Linked DNA regions of Arabidopsis thaliana. The protein of the gene in region 2 interacts with the protein of the main gene of each other region in a pairwise test. Each region holds a gene or a part of one and is shown on either strand. Other genes may lie near its edges.

Region 1 (10,560 bases), on a different chromosome or scaffold from region 2:
CGAAAGGTGAATGATTACGCGATGAGCGAGTTTGAAAACTTGGTCCTATGTGTTTAAAGGTCAGTTCCTGATTGCAGTATTCGGATCATTTAGGTAGAAAAAACAATGTGAACAACTGCAGAGATACATTACCAGATTGAAGTCTGTATTTTTCTTCTCTTTGTGTGTAAATATGAAACGAAGGCGGTCAAATTATATATAAGCTTCTTCTTTCTTCCGTTCTTATGAAGTTTTATGCAATCATAGAAGCTTCTTGTTTGCTGCAGAGTTCTGTTATAAGTTTCTACTTTTGATAGCGTGGTTATCTGAATTCCACCAAGTCCATTTTTCCTCTTACTATATAAATATCGAGTAATTTGGCTCGAGTTAGTTCGGTTTCTTTCAGGGTTGGTTTTTCTTGGCAGCCGATGAATTCTTGGATTCATCGAAGTAGCCATCAATTAGTAGGGGTTCAGGTTTTTGTTGAATTGTGCTTAGTAGTTTGGGATATAGTAGTGACCATATTGTCATTTTTAGTTGTTACAAGGCTCTGAAGTCTGAACCATATTATATATAGGAAGAATTCATCAAGGTGCGATGATATTTCTATCATTTGTTGAGATCAAACCTTCGATTTATACATTTTGGAATAACCAGAGTCGCAGTCTCACGTTTTCATACCTAATGATTTAGAGTGTTCACTCAATCTCCAAGTTAGAGCAGGCTAATTTCGGCAAAACTCTTACCTGCAAACCATTATTTGGTATATGTGAGTGTACATAAATTGTCACCGGAATTAAACCATCAAATAACTTGTCACAAGCACTTTTTCTGCATATCCGAATTCGATGATGTGAAGAAAATGGTTGTACCAATTTTCAATTGCACATATGTCTGTCATTTTCAGATTATGTTACATGTAAAAACCAAGTATGGTTATTATATTTTGTTTTCAAAATGAGAATCAAAATAATAGAAATCAGTAAGTATTTCTTATCATGGTAGTTTACTTTGATTGGTTATCTTATTCTGTGTAAGCTCTCGACGATTTTATTCATATTTTGAAATACTATACAAAAGTCATGATGTGTGTACATTTTCCATTAGGACTTTCTAGACTTGAGCATTATTTTCCTTGATAGCTTCATCGACGTTTAGGCCCTGAAATCCAAATAAACAAACTCATAATTAAAATCCTGCTTTTCTAAAGTAACAAAGAATATTAAGTGATAAAGATTGGGAGAAATAATTACGGAAAATAATCAATGTTAATAATCCCAGCGACAGGATTAGCGATCTGAGCAAAAGCTTCTCGAGAAAGATCGAGCGTAGAAGCACAGCCACTGGGACAATGGTCAACGATCTTGACCTTCACGGATTTCCCCGTGCAAGGGTGAGGCACGGCGTTACGAGGTCCGCTGCATTTCACGGTGAACATTTTGCCACAAACTCGACCATTGTCCCATAATGTATCACTCGCTGCAGCGATCATCACTCCTTCTTGAGTACCTCTGTAACATGCTGATGCTATCAAACATGAAATAAAAGAAAATGATTTTATAACATTTCGCTGTAGGTTGATATGAAAATGTATAAGATAAGTTTGTTGTTTGTATTTGTTTTATAATTTTGGTAGTAAAACACACAAAAATTCTTACGAGTGTAACTTGTGTAAAAAGTTGCAATCCCGGGAGTTGCATATGAGAAAGAGAAGAGAAAAACAAGAACGGTAGAAAAAAACACAATACTTTTACTCATGATTCGTATTTATTTGTAAGAGTGTTTATCTTTGAAATGTGACATATCTATTTATATATCTGCTATATATTATATGACTAACTCTAAATATGCATGTATTGTAATTGTTTGCCATTGAAATATCTTTGACTGTTCCCATTTTTTAACATGTGTATAGTTGTAAATTTGTTATATTTAATTTCTTCTTATCTGTGTTGACTAAAGGTTTAGAAAGATTGTTATCCTCATTTGATAGCAAATTTACAGCCAAAGACTCCAGAAAACGTTTACTAACTACGCTGATCAAATTTGCCACGTAAATTTATATGAACAATCTCATAAAAACAATTCATCAAAAGGAAAAAAACTCTCCTTTTATAGGTCCTAAATGTAGTGAAATCAATATTTATGGACTAGTACATATGGAACAGTTATGAGGCGAGCGTTAATGGGCCGAACGAGACGATAAGAGACATTATTCTAAACCAAGCTCAACCACGAAGATAACCGGATCATAACCGCAAAATGAACCGGAATAAAACGTGAGAAACAACGAGATAATATTAAAAATGATGCAAAGAATTTCTGAATGTAAAGGTAGGTATGGTGACATAAGGAATGGAGTTACCGAGGAAGCTGCCCTTGTCGGATTGTCCTTATCACTTCCCACTCGGCATTACCAGATAGGAAGCTCAGAGGACAGAGATAATAATTGGAACCCAAAACTGAACCCTATTTTATATAATCTCATCACCAATACTTTATCCTTAAATGAAGTCTGGTTTCGCCCTTTGTTTTCTCCTCTAGTTTTCTTGTAACGCCAAACTACATTCTGTATGATCAAAATTTAGTAACATAATTTATCAGAACCCCATTGTTTTAAAACGTGTCTGTGTATTTGTGTTTATATACGCTTAATCTTCTTCTTTCTAGTTAAATTTAATCAATTTAATGAAAAATTTGGTATATAAAAAAAAAGACTTTGCTCACGAGTTCCTCTCATAAGGGCCAAAACTAGTTAAAAAGTTATCGTCAAAAACTGATATAAAAAAGATGTCCGAATATTCCCGCATATAAATATCTATCAGACAAACTCTTTTGTACAATATACTTTGAATCCGATAAATTTTCGATCTTCAAAATCCATAAAAATCTCTCCTTTATTTAGCCCTAAAACAGAGTATTAGAGTTTGATTCGTAAAAGAGAATATTTTTAATCTCCGCCGCAAGTCGATGTCGATAACGATTCCCTACGATGGCTCAATCTCCCGCGAGCCATCACCGTCTCCACCGCCGCCAAAAGCGAACACGAAGAATCTACCGACGAAGATTCTCTCTAACTTCCTCATAGGTCTAATCATGATCCCTGTAGCTATAACCGCTTTTATCTTTATCCTCACGTCTCTCGGTTTCACCTTCTTCTTCGCTTTCTACTGGTTTCTTCAACGAAACTATCGCCACCGTCTCCGCCGCCATCGCCGTCACGAATACTCAGATGGGTTATCTCCAAGATGCGTGAAGAGGCTTCCTCAATTCAAGTATTGTGAGCCTAGTTCAGAGTACGGAGGCGATGATTGTGTTGTTTGTATCGATGGATTTAGACAAGGACAGTGGTGTCGGAAGCTGCCTCGATGTGGACATGTGTTTCACCGAAAGTGTGTGGACTTGTGGTTGATTAAAGTCTCGACTTGTCCGATTTGTAGGGATAGGGTTTATAGATTTGAAGAAGGAAGAAGATGGAGACCACAAGGTGAAATTTTTTGATCGGTGGTTTTATAATTAGATTTGAAAGTGTGTTTAGTTTGTTATCATATTTAGCAGCAATTTTGGTTTTCATCAATAGTCATGTACAGTGTCTTTTTTTTTTTTTTACACGGCTTCACAATTGAAAGCTTGTTTCTTCACCGTTTGATGAATTTGATCCAATAAGAGAATGATGGGTTTCTGTAGAATTTAACTTAGTTTGAGGTTTGATTATCATGCCAATTATTAAATTCAATCTAGTCAATTACTGATAGAAATGTTGTCCATTTGTCACTTTAAACATGTTGCTTATGTTACCTTAATGATTTCTCATAATTTCACTTGAGATTCAGTGGTTAATCATCAATGTTTCTGTTTCAATTTGTCCATGATGAAGTATAAGTTCTAAGTAAAGCTTGGTTCATGTGATTTTAATTTACCTACTTCACCTCCAAAGTTATGTCAACTATGTTTTCAAGTGTGTGATTCAAAAGTTTATATTGAACATAAAAATAAAGGAGGCTAAAGAATCGTTTTCTGATTGGAATGTGAGATTGTGACTCACACGGAGAAAGTGATTGTGATTGGATCTGACTATAAGACTAAAGAAGTGTTTTTGTGAAGTAACAAGTAACATTGTCTAATTAGTGTTTTGTATTGTAAACTAATAATGACTTTGATTAACGAAATAATGTCACTTTAGTCAAATGTGTTGACTTTCTTGTCTTATACCGATGGCTCAAGTATTCCCAAGAAAAAAAAACAAATATCCCTCCGATTTCTGACTCGTCCCGTGACTCAGTGATTCTCCTCTTCCAATCCTCTCCGGAAGAACTAAACAAAAACACGATCTTTCTCAGATTTAGAGAGAGTAAGAGTGAGAGAGTGTCAGAGACACGAATCAAAGAAATGATTTTTAAAAGCTTCTGTTAATTCTAATTTGCATAGATTTGTTTACTCGAGCTTGAGCTTGAGCTTCTTCTAATGGAGTTAAGGAAGGACAAGCTTCTTATGTAAGTTTTCTTTCTCTCATCCGTCGGTTAGACTTACGTTCCTGAAAGTCTTCAACTTTGATTGCCCAGAAATTAAAAATTCTAGACTTTGCTTTAGATTTATCTCTTCTTTAGATGTTACAAGCTCAAGCTCCGATTTTGGGTACTGGGTTTAACTTAAATCTCTAGTTAGGTTTCAGATTACAGATTTGAGTTGTGTATTGCTTTGTAGGTTTTACTCAGAGGGGAAAGAAAGCAAAGAAGCTAAATGGGCAGTGAATGATCCAATGAGCAAATCTTATAAGCTCTCTTTACCTTCAGCACTAAGACCTGATAATCTCTTACCTGGAAATAGACTTAGATACACTGATGCTTCTAAGTCCAAATCTTCTAAAGTCTCATGGTACAAGACTATTCTTGATCCAGGAAGTGAGATTGTCTTGAAATGGAATTGGGTCTTCATTGTCTCATGTATGGTTGCTCTCTTCATCGACCCGTTGTACTTCTTTGTCCCAGCTATAGGAGGAGATAAAAACTATCCTTGTGCAAGGACTGATACAAGTTTAAGCATCCTTGTTACTTTCTTCAGGACAATAGCGGATCTTTTCTACTTGCTGCACATTTTCATTAAGTTTAGGACTGGTTTCATTGCGCCTAATTCAAGTACTAGAGTGTTTGGTAGAGGTGAGCTTGTGATGGATCCTAAGGCTATTGCTTGGAGGTATATTAAATCTGACTTCATCATCGATCTCATTGCGACGTTACCACTTCCACAGATAGTTATCTGGTTTGTTATATCGACTACAAAAAGTTACCGGTTTGATCATAACAACAATGCTATTGCTTTGATTGTGCTCCTCCAATACATCCCAAGATTCTATTTGATAATTCCGTTAAGTTCTCAAATTGTTAAAGCAACTGGAGTTGTTACAAAGACTGCTTGGGCTGGAGCTGCTTATAATCTTTTGCTATACATGCTGGCTAGTCATGTATGAATCCCATTCCTTCTTCTTCCATTATTTCATTCCTTAAATGTGATGATAATCAAAGCTACAATGTTTTTGTTGGGACAGGTGCTTGGTGCAGCCTGGTATATATTATCGGTTGATAGATATACATCGTGCTGGAAATCAAGATGCAATGGTGAAGCTGGCCAAGTTAATTGTCAGCTATATTACTTAGACTGTGATTCAATGTATGACAATAATCAGATGACTTGGGCAAATGTCACAAAAGTGTTTAAACTCTGTGATGCACGGAATGGCGAGTTCAAGTATGGGATCTTTGGGAATGCAATCACGAAAAACGTTGTGTCTTCACAGTTCTTCGAGAGATATTTCTACTGTTTGTGGTGGGGATTGCAGCAGCTTAGGTAATGGCAGAGATCATAGAAATTTTTTGATACCAATTATTACTCTCCTTTTGATTACAAGTTTTAGAATCTGATGACATTTTCCTGTTATTGTCATATTCTAGTTCTTATGGACAGAATTTGTCCACGACCATGTTCATGGGCGAAACCACATTTGCTGTTCTCATTGCAATCTTTGGTCTTGTCCTCTTTGCCCATCTCATTGGGAATATGCAGGTATGGATTCCTGCGTTAGGATAAGTTCTAAAAGTATCTGCTTTTGTTCTTATGTTTCTTGGGTTTTGCCTTTTGTTTGTTAGACATATCTGCAATCTTTGACTGTACGGCTTGAGGAATGGAGATTGAAGAAGAGAGACACTGAGGAGTGGATGAGACATCGTCAACTTCCTGAAGAGTTGAGAAACCGTGTGAGGCGATATGAGCAGTATAAGTGGCTTGCAACAAGAGGAGTCGATGAAGAGGTTCTCCTGCAAAGTTTACCCACTGATCTTCGCCGTGATATTCAACGTCACCTATGTTTAGATCTTGTTCGAAGAGTAAGTTTTTCTATTGATTTGTTTATCCTACAAATGGTTCAACTTTTAGGTTAACTACTATCTTGAATCATGCAGGTCCCATTTTTCTCTCAAATGGATGATCAGCTGCTTGATGCGATATGTGAGCGCCTGGTTTCTTCTCTGTGTACTGAAGGGACTTACCTTGTACGTGAAGGTGACTTGATCTCAGAGATGCTCTTCATCATCAGAGGTAGACTCGAGAGTTCCACAACCAATGGAGGCAGAACCGGTTTCTTCAACTCGATTATACTTAGACCTGGAGATTTCTGTGGGGAAGAGCTTCTTTCTTGGGCTTTGCTTCCAAAATCAACCTTGAATTTACCATCTTCTACAAGAACAGTTAGGGCTTTAGTTGAAGTCGAAGCATTCGCTCTTCGAGCTGAAGATTTGAAATTTGTTGCAAATCAGTTTAGGCGGTTACACAGCAAGAAGCTTCAACATACATTCAGATTCTACTCTCACCATTGGAGAACTTGGGCTGCTTGCTTCATACAAGCGGCTTGGCGCAGGTACAAGAGAAGAGTTATGGAGAATAACCTCACTGCGATTGAATCAATGGAAAATGAAGAAGGAGAAGTAGGAGAAGAATTAGTAGTAGTAGAAGAAGAAGAGTGTGTTGAGGAGAGTCCTAGAACAAAGATGAACCTTGGAGTTATGGTTTTGGCATCGCGTTTTGCAGCTAATACAAGACGCGGTGTTGCAGCTCAGAGAGTTAAGGATGTAGAATTACCCCGGTTTAAGAAACCCGAGGAGCCTGATTTCTCTGCTGAGCATGATGATTGACTGATGTATAACCAGGAGAAGAAGCTGACTTTGTTCCATAGAAGATCTTAATGACAAGAACACTACAGAGTAAGTTTCCTGTTCCTTTGGGAGACATAAAGAAAGAAACTCAAGGCGGGTTTTGGTTTGTACACTTAAACATCTTTTGTAATATAAGCTTGGAGAATTAGTTTTGTTGTACTATTAAAGAACTCGTTTCTAAATTCTCTAAATGTAAAGATGAGGAAGTTGAAGTGGATTATGTACAAATCACATCAAACCTTGCAAAATTGATTGAACCAACAAGGAAGTAAAAAGATGTCTAAGCCCATTCGTCAAAGCCCCTATATGCCGTGGTTACTGACTTACTGTAACGTTGAGAATAAGATGGTAAAGAAAGAAAAAATATATTTTCTTGAGCATGTTGCATATTGCTATCGACACAAGCTTCTTTTTAAAGAAAGGTAGACTCACTTAATCAATAGACATAAGATCATACTAATGATGAGTTTGGACTTTGGTCCATGGGAAAAAGTTAAAATGTTTACTTGCTTTCTCTACTGACCTAGATATGTCGGATCAAATCATAATCTACATTACAGGATTACATACATATTTGGGATTTTTCTTTTTGCAATATGGCCACAAGACCAGCTCAATGTAATCATGGATTCTTAGTCGATTTAAAAAGTTGTAAATATTTTAAACTAACATATTGAAAAGTTTCTGAAAATTTCTTGTCCCATATAATATACAAATAAATTTTATGGTCTTGAATGACAATAACAATATAGTATGGCACAAGAAGTTAGATTGAACGGAAACTGAATCATGAAAACAATGGTTTTCAACAATCATAATTATAGTAACATATATTAATATTTTGAATCGTTTATTAATATGTGAAATTTTTAAACATGCATGCATATATTAAGAGATGACATAGTAGTTGTACCTTATAGTGTGTAGTTGCTCACTAGAGAAGTTAAGTTCATGTCCCCTTTCCAAAAAGCTCAAATTCAACATTAGGTTTCAATCATGTAAGGTTGAGATCCGCGACCCCTTTTAGTTATAACATAATTTAATACATACTTATATTCGTAAATCATTATCTTCACATCCTTTTCATGCCTATAATTACAATAATTAAAAGAGAAAAGGCTAGAATATATATTAAACAGGAAATAGGTCTTTGAGTAAAGTTGCAGCATTTGCTACATTATTTTATTTTCCACTTGAAGACTATTCAATTACACTCTCACATTGATGATATTATGAGTTTCTTTTTGTCACTTCAAGATCAAGTATTGGCATGGTGTATGATGAATCTTTCTGTGAGATAAATTGAATCTAATTTAATATTTAAGAATTTTCAACTACTATAGTGTCCAATAGCTTAATCTTTCTCACTTTTGACAGGATATATTTAAGTAAGAAAAAATATTTAACTAAGTGAGGAGGCATAATGCAAATCCACCAAAAAGATAGAAAGAGAGAGACCATAAGGTCCATTTATATAACTAAATAATTGAATGATATAAAGGCATGTTTTGGTTTGTCTTCTCCTTGTTCTAGTGCTTCTCTTTGGCAAAAATCCTTTATTTCAAAATAATATTAAACTATATCCCCTTAATAATTTGTTGTCAATAATTAGGTTATCAGTTGCTTTATTTCAAACAAATCCGTATTTTTTAATACTTGAAAAGAATTGGAGATGCTTTTAGTTATGTATAAACAAAGTACCACAAAACTTCAGCCTTATCTTCCACTCATAGAATATTACTAATAGTATGTAATATCTAAAAAGGCGAAGGAAGTAAAAGGCAGTTTTGGAGGCTTTGTCTTCAAGTGTCTAGCAGAGAACCGGAGTTATACGACCTGTAAAAGCCAAAAATAAAACACGACTATTGCATCAACTTGTTTCAGTAATTCAAAATATATATCAAAAAAAAAATTGTATACTTAATAAGTCGTCTAGAAGACTTTCAAACAAATAAAGACATGTACTTAAAATCTCGAAATTATTTACTGTGTCGAAAATTGTCTTTCATCAATTAGATTTAGATGTACTATGCAGCCACTACAATATTGAAAATTTCATTAAAAACATATATATATATATATATATATATACGTAGGCATATGGACCATGTGAATTCACTAGGCATGCATGTAGTTGTTAAGTGGTAGATTTAGATATTAATGTCCAATGCATATGAATCCACTTATATATATGAAAGAGAATGTGAATACTCCTATCATATTAGCTATTAAAGAAACTCGCTACACTGAAAAAGGGTAAAAAATAATTCGTGATGACATATGATTAACTTGAAGATGTACCGATCGAATCAATGTAATTTAAATTCGATCTAGCAGTCTAAATTGAACTTGAAAAGCCATGGCGTCATGTATAGTATAGATCACTAGACCAAATGTCGTAGTCGTTTATTGTTATCATACGTTTAGTTAGGTTTAAATTTATTATCGGTAGTTGACCGATTTGTAGGTTGAAGCTTTGAAACAATGGTCATCATAAATGATAAATTCAAAGTATGACCCCAAGAGCACAAAAGGAGTGATCACTACGTGTGGTCCGATCGCTTTACATTTTGAATTTTGAAACATGTTTTGGTCAAACCGGTTTGGTGGTTTTCAACTTTGTTTTGATCTCCCATTTCTCTAAATCGCGTATTGACCAAATTGACACTCAAAGACGACTAATTTCCAGTGAAATTAAAACCCCAAATATCAAGATGTTATTCAAGATCCTAATATGAAGTCTATGAATTATATCAAAAAGGTTGACTTTAAAATCTAGATGCTTCAAATCCGATAACACTGGACAAAACAAAATTGGTAGATATAGATGGCGTAGATCAATTTAAAACGTGACTAAATGTGCATGTCATTATTTTTCTGGTGTGTTGATTTCTATTAAAAAAAGAGAGCAGAGATTATACAATAAATAAAACCTAAAATTCTAAAAACTATGGTGGTTTAGAGAATACAAGCTGTTGAGTGTTGACCCAAAAACGAAAGAATATGAGCTATGGTGGTTTAGAGAATACAAGCTATGAGATGATAATTAGCTTTCATGTTTAAAATTTTATAACTATAGTCTATAAGACCACACCATGTCCAAATTTGTTGTGTATAAATATATAGATATACTAATAAAGTGATTAGAAACATCATACATAGTGGAACAGCTCCACCGGAACTATACAAAATTACGAAAAAAACACATGCACGAGGTTCCTTGAATTGGCTATCAAGTAAGTACATGTATCAAACAACCTTTTTGTTAAAAACATTCACCATCAATCTTCATAGTATTAGTAACACTAATCACTACTTTGATTTAGCACGAATAATTCCCTTTACTCCAGCTTCTTTCGAATGAATTTAAACCGTT
Region 2 (10,560 bases):
CTTTCTCTTCTACTTTTTTTCATGTTTATTTTGGGGTTTAGGGTTTTAGAAGTTTGATCGATCTGTTATTATAACTTTGGTTTCAATCGATCTGGGTGTCCATTTGCTTTTCGATGTTTAGGATTTTCTGTGCTTATTTGAATCACCTTGTATCTTGTATTTCTCCTTGTAATTTAGCACATCATCTGCACTGCAGCAATGACTAAAAAGAAGAATCCTAATGTTTTCTTGGATGTATCAATTGGTGGGGATCCCGTTCAACGGATTGTCATTGAGGTATTACCTCAACCTTTGCATTTTTTGCTTTGCTTTCCGCATTCAGCTTCTTAAGTTTTTTTTCATCTGTCAATGGCAGCTTTTTGCTGATGTTGTCCCCAAGACAGCGGAAAACTTCCGTGCCCTCTGCACAGGTACCTTGGGCTTCCTCATAACACTTTCTGCCATTTAATCTCTCCAGAATGCTTTGATAAGATTATGGGCTTTACATTTTATTGTTATGATGTTTTTTCCTTTGTGCAGGTGAGGCGGGCGTTGGAAAGTCCACTGGGAAGCCTCTACATTTCAAAGGATCATCTTTCCATCGGGTTATCAAAGGATTCATGGCTCAGGTATGTATGCATTATTCTTTTGCAACCCTGTAATGTCCTTCACTGACATATAATTTGTTTTTGTATGCATTTGATGGTTCGCAAACTCTTTATTCATTAGCGCTTCTCTTTCTTGCAGGGTGGTGATTTTTCCAATGGGAATGGTATTCTTCAAACCTGTTATCCTTTATACATTAAATCTCCAAACCGTATATATTTCTTTATATCACAATATGTGTGATGTAGATACCTCATGATCTAGTTTTTAGTTTAATTAACACACAAGGAGCTTAGTATATATGTTTATAGAATGAAATTGGTTACTAGGGAAAAGCGTATTGGGGTCCCTTTTTCATCTCTGAGACAACTTCTGGATGAAGTCTTTCTTGCTGTAATGCCTTAATTAGAGATAATCTCTCTGGTTGATTTGCAGGCACTGGTGGGGAGAGCATCTATGGTGGGAAGTTTTCAGGTATAATTTTGGTTTCTCTGTTTACGGCTTTCTGGTATTGATTTTTTTTTTCTCAATATCCCGTTATCCTTTTACAGATGAGAACTTTAGATTGGACCATGATGGAGCTGGAGTCCTTTCAATGGCAAATTGTGGCCCAAATACCAACGGGTCCCAATTTTTTATACTTTTTAAACGCCAACCACATCTTGATGGGTAATCTCTGTTCCTAGATTTTGTTGTTTTGAGAAATTCAAAGTTCATTGTAAAGGACTCTCAAAACGTTTAATGCATTTGGAAGGAAGCATGTTAAGGGTCCTGATTTTCCTTATCCTCATATTGTAGGAAGCATGTTGTATTTGGCAAAGTCGTTGAAGGGATGGCAGTAATCAAGAAAATGGAACTTGTGGGGACGAGTGATGGGAAACCTACTAGCCCAGTCAAAATAATAGACTGTGGTGAAACGTCTCAGATAAGAGCACATGATGCTGCTGAAAGAGAAAAAGGTAATGAAGTTAATCTTTGAATGTGGAGTTTCTATAATAATGATGGAGTTTCTAGAATAATGATGCAGATATATTTAATGTTTATTAGGGAAATCGAAAAAATCAAACAAGAACTTTTCTCCTGGTGACGTATCTGACCGTGAAGCTAAGGAGACACGCAAAAAAGAATCTAACGAGAAAAGGATAAAACGAAAAAGAAGATACTCTTCGTCAGATTCATATAGCTCAAGTTCCGACTCAGATTCAGATTCGGAATCAGAAGCATATTCATCTTCCTCCTATGAGTCTAGTTCTTCCAGTGATGGGAAGCATAGGAAGAGGAAGTCAACAACAAGACACAAAGGCCGACGCGGGGAAAGAAAGAGTAAAGGACGAAGCGGGAAAAAGAAAGCTCGGCCAGATAGAAAACCAAGCACGAATAGTTCAAGTGACACGGAGAGTAGCAGCAGTTCTGATGATGAGAAAGTGGGCCACAAAGCCATAAAGTCAGTGAAAGTTGATAACGCTGATCAACACGCCAACTTGGATGACTCAGTGAAATCAAGGTTTATCTCCCTGGCTTTATGTATTTCAGCTTTGCTTCTGCAATTTGGTGGTCTGATTTTGTGGTCACTGACAAACTTTGCCATTTTCTATTGCTATACAGGAGCAGGAGCCCAATTCGTAGGAGAAACCAAAACAGCAGGAGCAAAAGTCCTAGTAGGAGCCCTGTGAGAGTTCTTGGAAATGGAAACAGAAGTCCTAGTAGGAGCCCTGTGAGAGATCTTGGAAATGGAAGCAGAAGTCCTCGTGAGAAGCCAACAGAGGAAACTGTGGGGAAATCTTTCAGAAGCCCATCTCCAAGTGGTGTGCCCAAGCGCATCCGAAAGGGGCGTGGGTTCACCGAACGCTATTCCTTTGCTCGGAAGTACCATACTCCTTCTCCTGAGCGTTCTCCTCCTAGACATTGGCCTGACAGAAGAAACTTTCAGGATAGGAACAGGGATAGGTAACTTAATCTATACATACATACAACAAAGGACGATAGCTCTGCGGATAGTACTAAAGCCTCATTTTGTTTAATTATGTAGGTATCCGAGCAACAGAAGTTACTCTGAGCGCTCACCGAGGGGACGCTTTAGAAGCCCACCCAGAAGAAGGAGCCCTCCAAGGTTCGCTTTCTTATCTCTGTACAGATTCTGGCTTTGGCTTGGGACGATATAGCTTGTAAACCAGCACCTAGAGCCACTTGCATTAGATTTATATCCTAGAACGACCCTTTTTGTGATATTATTTTGGTTAAGCAAAACATTCTAATTGAATGCTGAAAGTTGAAAAGAGCAACTTTATAGCAATGTTGGATGTCCTCTGAAATTGAGTGTTGTCTTGCATAGGTACAACCGGAGGAGAAGGAGCACTTCTCGGAGTCCAGATGGGTACCGTAGACGATTGAGAGACGGAAGCAGGAGCCAGAGTCCGAGGCATCGTAGCCGTAGCCAGAGCCCTAGAAAGAGGCAGCCAATTAGCCAAGACCTGAAATCCCGTCTCGGGCCACAGAGATCCCCCATCAGAGGAGGACGCACCTCTCCTGCAGAATCACTCAGCCCTTCTCACTCACCTTCTCCACCAGGAAAGAGAGGTCTGGTTAGCTATGCGGATTGATGGTCACTCTCATCCATTGGTTTCTCTGCTGACTTGCGAGTTTTTGTTTTAATTTCCGTGTTTTAGTGCAAGCAATAATAGGTAATGATATTTTTTATGTTGGTCGGATATATAATACTCTACCTTAGTTGCATTATTACAGATCGTGGAACATTGATCAAATTGAGACTGATATATGTTGGCAGAATTGAGTTTGGGAATCGAAGTTTGTAGAAAATTTATCGAACAAGTAGCATAGATATCTCAACATGAAAATCTAGTAATACATGTAAAGAAAGAAGGTTAATGATATTCCGCATGTTCATAGATAGGACTCGAATCTTTCTTTACCACAAGAGGGGTTTACAATGATACAATGATCATGTCCTAGAAGAGAAGGATCAGATGGGTTGGTCTTTGGGAACGATCTGATCCTTGATCCACATGTAGATAGGGATTAACACAAACCAGGCAGCTGCTAGAGTTCCCAGGAGGAAGCGTCCCAAGAAGGAGAAGGGGTTGTTGACAGGCTTCTCTACGTCCTCTTCCTTTGGACCAAGCTGCAGCATTTGAGTGATAAGTTTAGTGTATCAAAGAGAGAAGAAAGTAAAAAAGGTGAAGTGGGAGGTAAAAGACCTGGAGAGGAGAGTCACCGGAGGCAGGTTTAACACCAGTGACAGAACATCCCATGATAAGGCCGTGCCTGCGAACACCACGGTACCACTTGGGGCCAATCCTCTTGAGCTGAACGTCCTTGAAACCGGCATTCTTGAACCACTCAATGTACTCTTCCTCCTTGGGGAAGAGCATCCAGACATCAGAAAAGAAGCGAGAGAGCCAGAAGGTTGGGTAGACAGGGCCGATGAGACACGCTTTGCCACCGATCTTGAGAACCCTGTACGCTTCCCTTATTCCCCTCTGCGGGTCCGGCCAGTACTCAATGCTGTGTGATGATGAGACACACAATCAAACCCACCGGAAAGAAGACGATTATAAGAAGAAGAAGAAGAAGAAGAAGAAGAAGAAGAAAAGGATACCTTCCAGCAGAAACGTATCTGTCAGCATAATCGGTTGGAAAAGGAAGATCCTCAGCATCTCCCTCGACGATCTTGCATTCTTTCAACGGCTCCTTTTGCTTTGCTTTGGCCAGCTGATGTGGCGACTGGTCCAGAATGGTCACATTCTTGGCCTTCACTGTCTTGACTATGCCCAGAGTAGTGAAACCAGTTCCGCCGCCGACATCGACCACTCGCATGTCCGGATGGCTGAGATCCGCTGGCTCAAGAGCGTCGTCTCTCATATCCTCGGTCCAATGCCCAGGATTGATGACATGGTCGTATACGATGGATAAGAACCTGTAGAACCAGTAAGCCTCCTTCTTGTGCTGAATGAACCTAGGTTGCGCCGATGGCCGGGAAGACGACACGCTGCTGCTGCTGCATCTAGTAGCCACCGAGAGTCTAGGTGTGGAGGTTCGGGTAACTGAGAGTAAGGTCGGCCGAGGAATCGATCTGGCATGCAAATTGGAACCAGGGGAACCTAAACCTTTGGGGAAGGTAATGGCCCCGTTGAGCATCAAAGAGGCCATCGATGACAGATCCACCAAGTTGAGAAGAGGGAAGAAGAAGCTTATCTATCACCAATTCTCCGCCAATCAAAAACACAAACGAGAATGAGAGTGTGACTAAACCCTCTAACTCTAACAGAGTCAGTACTGACTCCAACCACATGTTTATGTACGGTCACGTTGTTTGTTGCGACAACACATATCCCTTTGTTGAGCCCATGGGCTCATTTGCAAGAATTGGCCCAAATAATAGTATTGGGCGTTTTGGCATTTTTCTGCAAATGGAAGGGAAAAGTCGATTTGAGTCAGAGAGAGAGAGACTTCGACGACAATTCAAACTTGTACGGACTAAGACCAGACTCTCTCTGACGTTGTCAGATCTGCGACCTGCTAGCGAGAGGATGCGAGAGGAAACTGTGGTTTACGAGCAGGAGGAGTCTGTTTCTCACGGCGGGGGCAAGCACAGGATCCTTGCAGAGCTTGCCCGCGTTGAACAGGAAGTCGCTTTCTTGGAGGTAGCTAAACTAACTCGTATCTCTTTCAAATTCCGACGTAGGTCTCTCGTGGATAGCTCAATTATCCTTTTTAGATCAATTGTTACAACAATTAGGTAAAGGTCGCTAAGATTGTTTCCTGTGAAAGCAAAAACCAGTATGGCAGATCTGTTCCAATCAGAAGAGCATGGTAGTTCTCTTGACAATAAGTGGCACCATTTCAGTCAGTCTTGTTTATGACTCTATGAATTGTATTCCCAAAATCTAAATCTGCTGGGTTCTCTTTGGATCCACTATTGGAATGGTTCTCTGTTGATCTTATTCTTAGGGATGTGCAAGAATACTTTTGATCATAGTCCAATTAGTATCATTCTCTCTTGGTTATCATCTATCGAGGCATGTTAAAAGTTAACCTTCTCCCAAGTTTCTCTGTTGCACAGATAATGTGTTTGCCTATTGTTCCTACTAGTGAGCTCTAACACTTACTAAAAATAGCTTTACTCTCTCTTTCTGTTTCATGTACTATATCCAGAAAGAGTTGAAGGAGGTCGAGAACACAGATATTGTATCAACCGTGTGTGAGGAGTAAGTATGGGATACTCAACCTATGTTTTTTTTTAACGCTTGCAAGCAACTGTGTGCTAGCTCCTGTAGGTATATTATCTGGATTTGACTGAAACTTGTACGTTGATTGGTGATCAAATTGATATTCCCTTGGTTCGCAGGCTGCTATCTGTCATCGAGAAAGGACCCGATCCTCTGTTGCCACTGTGAGTGCTTTTTAAACCTTGAAACTCTAGTGTTGGTTTGGACTGAATAACTGATGGATGTTGTGGTGCTGGCAGAACCAATGGACCTTTGAACTTAGGATGGGACCGGTGGTTTGAAGGACCAAATGGAGGAGAAGGCTGCAGATGCTTAATACTTTGATTCGCTAGACAGAGTAATGTGTTACATATACTAGTTTCTTGCTAGGATATCATTTTACATGGGATCCAAAATGGGGCTGTAGCAGAGAAAAAGCGTACAGATTAATGAGCATTGGAATTGCATAGAACGGCTTAGTTGCACCTACGTAAACAGTATTATATGTATATGTAATGTATGGGATCCGGATCTGACATACGAGTAATGGAGTTTCAGGCTTACAGCTTCTCATCTTCTTATTCTAGATCTTGTTGAAAGAAGCTGAAATGTGCATAGTGATATTTGGGGGCTAATAGAGTAATAGCTAATGAGGAAGTGGGTACAATCTTGAAGACCGTTAAGTGTGTCTCTCTTTTTTCTTTTTAGATAACTTTTGGCCACATCCACCCTCCATGATACACACACGCTAGTTTCGAGGATCAGAATACATACATACCTATGTTTATTATATAGATAGAACGATAATGGAACACAGAGCACATGCCTCATCTGTTGTCTTTTTATTATTACTTATTACTCTTCTCCTCCACTTCTGTATTATTACAGTCTGTTAAAGTAGAACCCCCTTTTGTTTTTTTCTTTCTATGTCTCAAAAATTAAAACAAGTTATGAGGTTTAAAAAAAAAATTGAGAAATGTAGAGGGTATTAGTAGAAGTGATTTACGGTAAGTTTATTCGACAGCTAAAAAGATAGTTTATGCATTCCAAAATATTCCTCAAATTTGTGATGAGTAAACAAATACTGGTAAGGTGGGTTTTCTGACAACCTTTGGATATACAGTAGTATGTCATCTGTTTTCATTGCCTCATTGGTCAAGATCAAAGTTGATGACCTCATTAGAGCTCCTTCTTCTCCCATAAATAAAAAAAAATTGATCAAAGTTTGTAGTATGAATTTGTTATATAAACAGAAGAGAAATTAACACAGAGATGTGAGTTGGTCCAAAAGAAAAATGATTGAGCAGCCGGAAGAAGCACGTTACAACATCTGCAGCATATCTGGTCAGAGAGAGTACAGAAATATTGGGGATTCAAACAATTCACCTCGTGATGAAACCTGAACATTGAAACATGCATTATAGCCTCACTCACATGCTCACATAATGCCAAACCCTTTTTCTCTGTTCCCGCCTTGCTTTTTTTTTTCGTGGCAATAGAATACAATACATTGGTTGGGTGATTAAATAAAGAGAATGACTAGGATAAGTAAGTTAGCCGTTAAAGTTGTAAATCTCGAGTAAGTGAAGTGGTCCGTTTTTATGAAACTCATAAAAACGAAAGTCCCATGTCCCTAAAACACTAGTAGAATGTGGTAACGTATCTTCTTCACATTCACGTTTTCATATGGGAAACGAATGAAATAAACAATGCAAAACGCAATAACTTAATTAGAATCTTGAACTGGCCGATAAGTGCAACCGTAACGGAAAGCAGAGGCAGAGAGAGAAGAGAGAAGAGGGAGAGAGCTGCCTTGGGAATAGATAGAAAGAGAGCGTATCAACGGTGGTCATTACTTTATGATGGCATTCCCAACTTTGAAACTGCCACGTCGATGTCGGTCAACAGCGGGGTCCATATCTCCTCATCTTCCGTTCCATATTTTTTCCACGTGGCATTTTTCTTTCCTCTTGAAACAAGAATTCAGAATTGAATCGTAAACTCTGAACTAGAGTAAGTAAATAATGTATTGACTAGAAGAAGAAGTAAGTAGTACGGGCTGGGTAAGTAAAGATAATAAATATGCGGGGTTTGATCTTTACTTATTTATTAGGACTCAAACTTAGCCATTATTAACTCAAAAATCAAAATTACTCCTAAAACAAGCAGATAGGAAAAAACACAAATAAATAAAAAAAAGGAAATTGAATGCAGAGTTGTCAGAGTGTATTTAAAAAAGAAAAAAAAAGCACGTTAGGAGGAGTATCCTTTAGACTAGAGTAAGGGAGTGGGTGCTTTAAAGAAGCAGAGAAGCGGGAGAAGAGTGTGCAGCAGCAACAGCCAACAGAAGAAAATGGCAAAAGAGAAAGATCTGGAGAAGCAAATCGGCGGTTGCATGGCCGGCTTCTTCAACATCTTCGATCGCCCCAGTCTCCTCTCTCCTAATAAGCGTCTCTCTTCCTCTCCGGTAACTTGTCTATCTCTCTTTCCCTCTTCTCCTGTTCCTAGAGGGATGCAATGAATTGACTTACCAACAAAACAACAATGTCTGTGTTTCTCCAGAGCGCTGAATCTGAATCTGCCTCGGGTAGGACGAATCAGCAGAGTGTGTACTCTACCCCTGAGCTACGCTCTCCTGCGCCGGCTCAACAAAGATCTTCTTCTTCTTCTTCTTCTTCCTCTAGGCCTTGGAGGTTCTCTAAAGAAGCTCCGAGGCTCTCCCTCGATAGCAGAGCCGTCGTGGATGCCAAGGGCTGCCTCAAACACAGACAGATCCGAGCCGATGCGGTTGAGGCTGAGAACCAGCGCGGCTCACCCAGTGTGATCGCACGGCTCATGGGATTGGAGCCATTTCCCCAACAGCCTCTCCAGAGATCTGCATCCGAGTCCAGGGTCACCAGAGACTACATATTTGACTTTCACGATGACAAGGGAGCAGCTCAAGATCCGGCTCCAATTAGGAACGCCCGAGCCCACCCAACCTCAGTAGTACGCCGAAAGAGTTTCTTTGATTCCGGTGATTTCTTCCCGAGAGTTTCCAAAATGAGTGGATTTGACGCTCCCCCGACCGATCTGGAAACCCTCAAGCAGCTTCTCGAAGCTCTTAGGCTCAAAGGACTCTTGCACTCGTCTTCACTCAAACATCAGAGCAGGAATCTCGTCTTCGACCATCATTCTCCGATCAAACCAGTGAGGCGGGATCGCATTTCCCCGAGCGTCAATAGGAGGAGACCAAGACCAACGCTCAAGGAACAGAGGAGAGTCTCTTCACTCCCTTGGCGGAGACCAGAACCTCTCCAGACGAGGATTGAAGACCAGAGTAGCACTCTAGCCGAGGAAGAGGTACCTCATTCATTACTCGACATTTTATCTATCAAAAAGGCAGCTAATGAAATACAAATTCTGTAAGCAGATGTGGAAAGTGGATGTGTATAACAGACAAGGCAAAACCTTATTGGAGAGATGCGACAAGCTGCTCCACAGCATTGCTGAAATGGCCGCTGCTGAGGCCGGAGACTCACAACCGAGCCCCGTCTCTGTTCTTGACGCCTCAATTTACCACGAGGACTCTTCTCCGTCCCCCGTCCTGAAACGCACCCTTGACTTTGCTGATGCTGAAGAAGACGAATCCTGGGGTGGCTCAATATTATCATCGTCCGACTCTGAATATGTATACATCTCGGACATCCTCCGAGCCTCAGATTGCCTTCCACAAGAGTCCGACAGCTTCTCCTTTCTGGAAAAGCAGCAATACCTCAAAGGAAAATGCGCCTCCAGAGCCGCAGCTCAGGAAAGACGCCTCATCTTCGACGCAGTGCAAGAGATTGTGGCGCGGAGAAGGAGCTTGCCCCCGTGGATGATGGTAGGAGAGGCTGATAATAAGATGCAAGTGATCTGGTCTGAATTTCAGAAGATAAGAGACAAAAAGTCGTCCACGGAGGAAGATGACCTTGTGGGATACGTGTGCGGGGTCCTCGGAAGAGATTTGTCGGAGGACCGATGGCGAGATTTTCAGGTGGAGATGTCAGAAGCAGTTCTTGACGTCGAACGCCTCATATTCAAAGATCTCATCGGCGAGACCATACGCCAGTTGGCTTTTCTTAACAGGTCCGACTCGCTGCGTAGGAGGCTGCTCTTTTGATATAAAACTAGACTAAATTCTCTGACCCAAGTCTGAAACTAAACCCAACCTACGACCTATACCATGTCTAACCAAACATGCGAGAGTGATAGTTCTTTTGTGTGTTTTTTTGTGTGAAATGTGTGATTTATCAAGTTTGGGACTTGGCGCCTGTTGTCTAAAAGACTAAAACCATACACTCTTTTTTTTGCTCTTTCTGAATCAAACTGCTGCTCATTTGTGTGGTGTATTCGGACTAATAAAGACTTTAAAAGTGTTATGGGCTTCAAGTGGACCGTTTATCTCTAATCATAGTCTACTCCAACATTCATCTACTTCAGTAGTGGCCCATTCAGACCCAATAAGGCTTTTCGGCATTGACTTATATGAGCAGAGAGAGAAATATGCAAAAGATGATCAAAGAAAAACTTGTGATTTGTAATTTTCAAAAATATGCAAAGAAAAGCGGATCATACTCCAGTAGTCTTTTTCTTTGAAAAACAGAATCATATAATAATATCTTCCAAACTGTAAAAAGAAAACGAGAGAGGTAGACACAACACACACTTTTATTTTTTTTGAGGTGGAAAAAAAAACGTTAATGGGGGAACAAAGCCACGTGAAGGTGGG

What was found. The genes of interacting proteins can lie anywhere in the genome.
Region 1: the proteins of GG1 (region 2) and CNGC17 interact in a protein complementation assay, tested with the Arabidopsis thaliana proteins (one large-scale study listed by BioGRID).

What each region holds. Positions count from the first base shown.
Region 1 is NC_003075.7:14,851,663-14,862,222, reverse strand, and holds CNGC17 (cyclic nucleotide-gated channel 17), read left to right. Parts: upstream 1-4,203; 5' UTR 4,204-4,443; coding exon 4,444-4,472; intron 4,473-4,683; coding exon 4,684-5,440; intron 5,441-5,524; coding exon 5,525-5,823; intron 5,824-5,927; coding exon 5,928-6,039; intron 6,040-6,122; coding exon 6,123-6,359; intron 6,360-6,434; coding exon 6,435-7,163; 3' UTR 7,164-7,529; downstream 7,530-10,560. Other genes in the region: AT4G30380 (Barwin-related endoglucanase), read right to left, coding at 1,134-1,140, 1,233-1,506, 1,638-1,737; AT4G30370 (RING/U-box superfamily protein), read left to right, coding at 2,950-3,480. UniProt on the Arabidopsis thaliana protein: Probable cyclic nucleotide-gated ion channel. Forms a functional cation-translocating unit with AHAs that is activated by PSKR1/BAK1 and possibly other BAK1/RLK complexes. Required for PSK-induced protoplast expansion.
Region 2 is NC_003074.8:23,412,251-23,422,810, forward strand, and holds GG1 (Ggamma-subunit 1), read left to right. Parts: upstream 1-4,998; 5' UTR 4,999-5,012; coding exon 5,013-5,246; intron 5,247-5,757; coding exon 5,758-5,810; intron 5,811-5,950; coding exon 5,951-5,995; intron 5,996-6,070; coding exon 6,071-6,155; 3' UTR 6,156-6,731; downstream 6,732-10,560. Other genes in the region: AT3G63400 (Cyclophilin-like peptidyl-prolyl cis-trans isomerase family protein), read left to right, coding at 199-276, 356-410, 520-608, 727-751, 1,021-1,059, 1,137-1,254, 1,384-1,544, 1,633-2,089 and 3 more; APG1 (S-adenosyl-L-methionine-dependent methyltransferases superfamily protein), read right to left, coding at 3,566-3,724, 3,801-4,107, 4,202-4,752; TRM5 (zinc finger CCCH domain protein), read left to right, coding at 8,164-8,277, 8,373-9,152, 9,223-9,951. UniProt on the Arabidopsis thaliana protein: Guanine nucleotide-binding proteins (G proteins) are involved as a modulator or transducer in various transmembrane signaling systems.